Linked DNA regions of Tribolium castaneum. The protein of the gene in region 2 purifies or fractionates together with the protein of the main gene of each other region. This does not show direct contact. Links are inferred from orthologs where the notes say so. Each region holds a gene or a part of one and is shown on either strand. Other genes may lie near its edges.

Region 1 (3,980 bases), on a different chromosome or scaffold from region 2:
AAAAAAATAAACGAAACAATTTTTGAACGCTTTTTTCTTCATTAATTAATGAATCTTCTAACACAAACTACGATAACTACGCAATTATTTATTAGGAAACGTTTTTTCTGTCTATTTTACTTATTACAACCGTAAAAAAGCAAAAAAAAACAGACACATGGCAAACACCTTGAAAAAATAAAACAAATCAAATTTTGCAAGCTTATTTTTTCATTAATAATGAAAGAATCGTCTAGCCAGACTACCACAACTATGTAATTACTTAATTTGTAATTACGTATCTGGAGACTTCTAGTTTTCTTATTACAACCATAAAATTGAAAGAAAACAAACATGTGGCAAACACCTTAAAAAAATAAAACAAAACAATTTTCGAACGCTTTTTTCTTCATTAATTAATTAATCTTCCAACACAAACTACCACGACTATGTAATTATTTTTTTCTGTCTAGTTTTCTTATTACAACTATAAAAAGCAAAAAAAAAACAGACATATGGCAAACACGTTAAAAAAATAAAATTTTGCAAGGTTACTTTTTCATACTACCACAACTATGTAATAAATTATTTGGAGACTTTTCTTTTTATCTAATTTTCTTATTATAATCATAAAACTGAAAGAAAAAAACAAACAAGTGGCAAACACCTTAAAAAAAAACGAAATAATTTTCGAACGCTTTTTTCTTCATTAATTAATGAATCTTCTAGCCAGACAACCACAACTAATTTAATTGCTTTTTATTTATTAGGAGACTTTTCTTTCTATCTAGTTTCTTTTAATGACTATAAAATTAAAAGAAAATAACAGACATGTGGCAAACACTTTAAAAAAATTAAACGAAACAATTTTCGAACGCTTTTTTATTCATTAATTATTGAATCTTCTAGCACAAACTACCACAACAATCGTACATATTGTTTATTAGGAGACGTTCTTTTCTGTGTAGTTTTCTTACTACAACCATAAAATTGCAAGAAAAAAATAACAGATATGTAGCAAAAAAATACAACGAATCAGTTTTTGGAAGCTTTCTTTTTCATTAATGAATAAATCTTCTGACACAGACTAACACAACCACGTAATTATTTATTTAGAGACCTTTATTTCCGTTTAGTTTTCTTATCACAATCATAAAATGACAAAAAAAAACAAACGTGTGGCAAACACAAAAAAATGAATGAATTTTTGCAAGCTTTCTTTTTCATTAGTGGATAGATCTTCTAGCACAGATTACCGAAACTATATAGTTATCAGTAGTTATTTATACATATAGTGACGTTTCCTTCTTTCTAGTCTTCTTATTACAAACAAAATTGCAAGAAAAAGAAAGATGTGTGGCAAACACCTTAAAAAATAAAACGAATCAACTTTTGCACGCTTTCTTTTTTATCAATGAATAAATCTTCTAGCAGATGTTTTTCGGTCTAGTTTCTTAATACAAGCATAAAATGACAAGAAAAAAACAAACGGGTGGCAAACACTTTAAAAAAAAATAAAACGAAGCAATTTTGCACGTTGTCTTTTTCATTAATGACTAGAATATATAGATATGTAACGATAGATATGTAATTAATAATTATTTTCTTTTGGTCTACTTTCTTATTAAAAACATAAAAACGACAATAAAATTATGGCTAAAAATTTTCATAAAAAAACAATTACCAAAATATTCCCCTTCCTCCTCATGCTTCTCCATTTCCTCTTCAATCTGCCTAGTCATCTCCTCAATTTTCCTTTCTGCCTCCGTGGGCCCCCTTGGCCTCGGCGGTGTAACATTATAGGGCAACAAAGTCTTTCCACTCATTTTCAATTTCCCAGCACTCAAAGTACTACAAGCGCTGGGCGTGGGGCTCGGAACCGGTGGCGGTCTCACCTCAACTTTCTCCTTCACAATCGGACTTTTGGGCAAAACTGACGGCGTAGTGGCAATGCCAGTACCAGGCTCTCTATTGTAGTTTTTGGCAGTGGACGTTTGAAACGGCACGTTCGTACTCAAAGTGTGCGAGATATTCCCAGTCATACAGACATAATCACTGCTATTGATTTCATCCAGCTGTTGTTTAGTCAAATTTTTATTATAACTGGGGTAGTACGGGGCTTTGAGAACCGTTTTGTGCATTTGGGGGTACGTCTGTTGGTACGATTGGGTGGGGTATGGAGGCGGTGCTTGATTTGAAGGCACTTGGGGCCCCGGCGTAGCCCCGCTGGATTTCTGCCCCAAAGACTGCAAGTTTTCGTAAACGGGCAAAGCCTCACCATCACGCGTGATGTTGCGGTTGATTGAGGGGACTTGGGGCTGGGCTTTCCGGTAGTTACTTTCCATGGAGTGGTAGTAAGGGGGTTGGTAGTTCCGAGTGGAGTAGTAGTCGATGTTTTCGTAAACTGGGGTTTGGTTGGCCATGCTGGTTCGGGGGCTGCCGGAGTGTTGCGATGAGCCGCTTAAAGAGTGAGTGGGGCTCGCATTTGGGGGTACTTGGGGCTTAGCGCACTGGACGTAAATATCATTCTCTTCGACTTGCTTCTGTACTAGGGTCTCGACTTGTTTAGGAGTGGCGTATTTAGAACTGGCAATGATGTTGTTTCTTTCATACAAAGTGTAATCGTTTGATTTCTGCTGGGTCGGTCCTTCTGCTACGAAACTTTCGATGGCCCCCATCGATTTTTGTTTCTGGTGGTAAGGGGGCACCGCCGGCTCTGCCTTCCCCATGATGCGGCCGTACCGTGGATTCGAGTCGTTGAGGGACATGTACTGCATTTTTTGCTCGAACGACTGATCCAAAGAAGGATCCAAGTCACCGCGAAGGTTCGACATTATCACCAAATTGATTTAATCACAGAACGGCAGTTTTCACTTAAATTAAGTAACTCAATCGACATATTTCAATAATTACTCATAAATAAATACATAATTAACCGGAGATGAGGTAATAAAACGACCGAACGTAAAAAAAATGACAGCAAAATGACAGCGCCGCCATTAAAACAACAAACAAACAGGTTGGGCATCCCACGCGTAAACCGAAAAGTCACTAAAATTTTGAATAAAAATGGCCACCGCCATGGAGGACTTTTCTTCATGGTTAAGTCGCACTTTGGAGGAGTTAAACACGGATGAAAGTGTCTTCGGCTCGTACATTCAAGGCATTTTAGACAGCGATGAGTCCTGCGAGGAAAAATCCGAGGCCCTACAAGGAATACTTTCGGAAATAATTCAAAATGTGAGTTGTGTACCCCCACTCAAGCACCTTCACATGTCGCCTTTTTAGGAGGACGAAATAAATAAAATATGTAACGAAATCCTCGAGAAATGGCAGTTTCACAAACGCAAAGAGCCGCCCCCGGCTCAGAGCACCAGCGAGGACGTGGATACAAAACTTGTCAAATTACTAGAATCTCAGTCATTGGCCACCACCAAACAAAAAAAGTACACAGAAGAAGAGAAGAAAATTCGTGAGGCGATTTTGATGCAGTACTCGCAAATGACGGACGATGAGGACGAGGCCGAGGATGGGAATCAGGCAGGGGATCACAAAGAGAATGGCTTGGAAAAAAACACAAATGTACAGTCTGTCCTCCAAGCTGAGAAAGTGAAACGAGAACAGGCCAAACTTGATAGTCAGAGGAAGAAGGAAAAGGATAAGGAAGATAGGGAAAAGCAGAAACAGCTAAGAGAGGAAAAGAAGGAGAAGCGCAAGACTCAAAAAGGGGAAAGAAGAAGGTAGCGACGTTGAAAATTTGTAGGATTTTTTTGGTTTTTCTCGTGGTTCTATTGTGAATAATAAATGTTGATAAAATGGTTATTCTAGTAAGGCAAAAGCGACGAATATGTATTGAGACAAAGTTGATTTTTACAATTTTATGTATGGAGACGATTTATTTTTATAAACAGTCTGAATTTAAAAATGACCCTTGGTGTGGACTGTAGAATATTTTTAATAAATTACCTACTTAATATTAAAAACAAAACGTGTTTTAAGCC
Region 2 (3,563 bases):
TGAATTTGAAAAAAAAAGCTCAAAACATTTTTTATACAAAAAATGATACAATTCAATTTTCTTTTTTTTTAATGAAAACACCTTATATTTTATGCATTTTTAGATATACATGGTTGTTAATCAGAATGTTGTTTTTTACTATTAAATTTTGAAATACTTGTCAAAAAAACATTTTAAAAATATAAAAAATACAACAGAATATGTTTACCTAAGGGTGTTTAAGTAAGTTTGAATAATAAAAATTTCTGGACATAAAAAGAACTTTTAAACATAAAATACTTCCTTGTTTTGGATTTCGAGAATCTTCCTATAATATTTTCTTAAGTAATAATAATTTATTTATTAGTAATAAATAGTTAATAAATGTGCATTATAATGACTTCTAATGTTATTAATTTAAAAAAAAAAATTGTTCATTACACTTTATATTTATTAAAATTTATAAAAACAATGAAAACTGAAGTTTTGGGGCCATACCCTCTAGGATGCCTCTGGATCCGTCCTTATTTGAACTCTTTAATTTTGTGAGTTCGTGAGTTCTGCATTTACTTTTTTTGAATACATTAATTAAGTTCATGTGGTCTCATTCTACGAATTTTTTTGTAGCCACTTACGATACGTGTTTTAAAATCGTATGTGCATGTCTATTGTCTATTTTATTTTATATTATTTCTGTTTTAGATATCTATCTAAAATAATGCTGCTTGCATTGAAGATGAAGTATTTTTGAAATTCTTGATTTTTGAAATCTATAAGTAGGGGTCATTTGTTTTTTTAATAACACATACATTTTTCCAATTTTAATTTTTAACTTCCACGTATATCTTTTTTTAGTCCTGTCGTTATTGTGATTATTTTCTTTTTCAATATCCTAGTGAAGATCCTTATTACTATACCTCACAGATATTACATTTATGTTTAAAAGTACTTTTAAAACCAAAATAAGTTTCATGTAGGTTCTATGTCACTGTTGAAAAAACTGAAAGAATATTTGTCATGTTTAATGTTTTTTTTGTTTTAAAGCTACATGGCTTCGTAAAATGTTTTATAAATTAATTTTCTTATTGTATACTATTTCTTCGATAAATTATTCAATTAGAAATGCACGTAATTCAGATATATTGCCTTAATCTCAAAGCCGTATTGATCAGGAGTGGCGTTGAAATCTGACGATGTTTGTTGATTTTAGGTGATAAACTGGGAGACGACGTTGCAAATACCAAAGCAAGCGAATCTTTCCAAGGAAAGTACTGACTTGATATTAAAATTGTGTTGTAGTGCGGACAAACGCTTAGGTAAAAATGCTAGTGAAGTGAAGTCGCATCCGTTCTTCAAAGACATCGATTTCGACCGAGGTTTGCGTCGCCAGCCGGCCCCGCACATACCTCGAATCGAATACCCCACAGATACGTCAAATTTCGATCCGATCGATCCCGACAAGTTACGAAATTCGGCTTCGATCGATTCGAGCACTTCCGACGAACTGACCGATAGTTCTAAGCCGTTTCACGGCTTTTTCGAATTCACATTCAGGCGTTTTTTCGATGACGGAGGTGGTCCCGCTTTTAATAAAATCAGTCTAGACGATAATGACAATCAAGGCTCTGTGTATGTGTAATCTTCTTGGAAATGTTCCGAGATGGACCCTCGGAACATGGATTTTCGCTCGGTTTTTGCTCTTGCCAACTGGAATTTGTACGCAAGATTGTGTTTTTGCTCTCGTGTCTGGTTAGTTCAAATAAGGACTCCTAGGCCTTATTTAATGATGGTTTAGCGCCGCTTTCGTTACGGCACGCTTTTGAAGTGTGGCGTAACGGGGGCGGGGCTTGTTTTGCAACCAAAGCCTTAAAATAGCTGCCTTGTTCTACTTTTTATAGGAAAGCTCAAATTTTCATACTTTGGTAAGAACTGAAAGATTCTATAGTACAATTCGCTATTTGAATTAAAAAATTGTATAGCGTGTAAATTATTTAAAAATTGAAGAAATGGTGCTAATTCTTATTCATACGTTAAATGTGATATCCACTGAATGTCTATAAAAATTATTTCTGACTTGTTGGAGTGGTTGTTCTATTGCATTTATGTCGAGCTTTAGAGGCCTGGAACGCGAAGAAAGACCTCGATAGGCGGGGCTAGTGCGCAGTGGCGTAGCAATTAACTATTTAAATTGATACTTCCTACTATTCGTCCATATATTCAGTCGTAGCAATACAATAGGTACAAAAAGTTACATCTTGTTCTATTACACAAGAATAAAAAATTGTTATTTATTGTTTTGTAACAAAATAAATTCATAGATTGTTTGCGCACCCCCACCATCGCGGTCATTCTGTCATTTCACGGTCTCTACGGCGTCAACTGGCATTTAATTAAAAACAATTGGAATCGTTGAGGTGTTGTCACTGTGACTGAGCAGTTTTGAAATGTTTTTATGGACAGTCAGTTGTATGCAACAATAAATTATTATTGTATATTATGTACAATACTCTAGGGATTTGTAAATATAATTATATCGTCGAAGTGTAATGGTCGGTCTAAAGGTACTAACTAACCACTTGCGGGGTTTTTGTTAAGTTGTTAGATGGAAAAATTGTGAATTAGTTGAAGAGAGCAAGGAAAATTAACAAGCACTGCCTTTTTTAACTAAAAAGAATAAAAGCATTATTTAATAATCTTGCAGTAAATCAAAATAGTTTTGTAAGAGCATAATGTTTAATTTTTTTCTCAGAAAAAAAATGCTGTGTTACAATTAGTTTTAATGATACGCTCATAACTTAATGCTTAGTTAAATATTTATTACATTTCCCCTCATTCTAAAATTAATTTGTAACACCCTCCTAGCTTAAGTATGGATTAATTTAGCATATAATTTTTCTAGTCTATTGGAATTTTTTTATCGTTTAAATATATTATTGATTTAAATGTTGTTTATAGGTCATAATGTTGTTCCTTAATTATGCAAGAAAATAGTAAAAGCGTATGCACTTAGGAAATTATGATTTGAGTGCCTACATAGTGTAAATGTGTGTAAATAATTATATATTTTTGGAAACATCCCGTCTCTGATTTCCAACCTTGGGCTACGCCACTGCGTTGATGGGCAATGTGGCAGTGCACGCGCATGCGCAAACAATCGAAAATCTGACAGTTCAAAGGGGCGTTCTAATCTGCGAACAATAAAAGAAGAGTGGGTCGCCATTTTGTTCGCTATAAAATCGTAAAGATCTTACCAAAGTTATATAAAACATCCCTGACCGAAACCAAAACTTATCGTTTGAAATGTGTCTGTGATATAAACAGTGGAGTGTAAATAGCGGTATATTTGTGATATGCACTAATTGTCTGTGTGTTTTTATTTTGGTACATTTTGGAGAGGGTGCAGATCAGCTGAAGGGACAGAAAATGAGTTCGAAGGACGATGAATACGATTATTTGTTCAAAGGTAAGCGTCCAATTGGGGCCCTTGTTATCGCACTTTGACGTTGCGGACCTTGGAGGTAATTGACACTTGACGTAAATTTTGTTCCCGTGTGACAAGTCAGCAATGTCAGAGGTCAACTTTT

The links. The genes of interacting proteins can lie anywhere in the genome.
Region 1: the proteins of wts (region 2) and jub purify together in Drosophila melanogaster (affinity purification with western blotting; 4 studies listed by BioGRID). This does not show direct contact. The link is inferred for Tribolium castaneum from reciprocal best matches to the Drosophila melanogaster genes wts and jub.

What each region holds. Positions count from the first base shown.
Region 1 is NC_087398.1:13,261,947-13,265,926, forward strand, and holds the start of jub (LIM domain-containing protein jub), read right to left. Parts: upstream 2,814-3,980; coding exon 1,664-2,813; intron 1-1,663. Other genes in the region: coiled-coil domain-containing protein 43, read left to right, coding at 3,049-3,219, 3,268-3,723. UniProt on the Drosophila melanogaster protein: Regulates organ size by inhibiting apoptosis and promoting cell proliferation by influencing the expression of G1/S-specific cyclin-E (CycE) and apoptosis 1 inhibitor (th). Negatively regulates the Hippo signaling pathway.
Region 2 is NC_087397.1:10,557,611-10,561,173, reverse strand, and holds the end of wts (serine/threonine-protein kinase Warts), read left to right. Parts: intron 1-1,189; coding exon 1,190-1,618; 3' UTR 1,619-3,054; downstream 3,055-3,563. Other genes in the region: Rab11 (ras-related protein Rab-11A), read left to right, coding at 3,403-3,442. UniProt on the Drosophila melanogaster protein: Negative regulator of Yorkie (Yki) in the Hippo/SWH (Sav/Wts/Hpo) signaling pathway that plays a pivotal role in organ size control and tumor suppression by restricting proliferation and promoting apoptosis.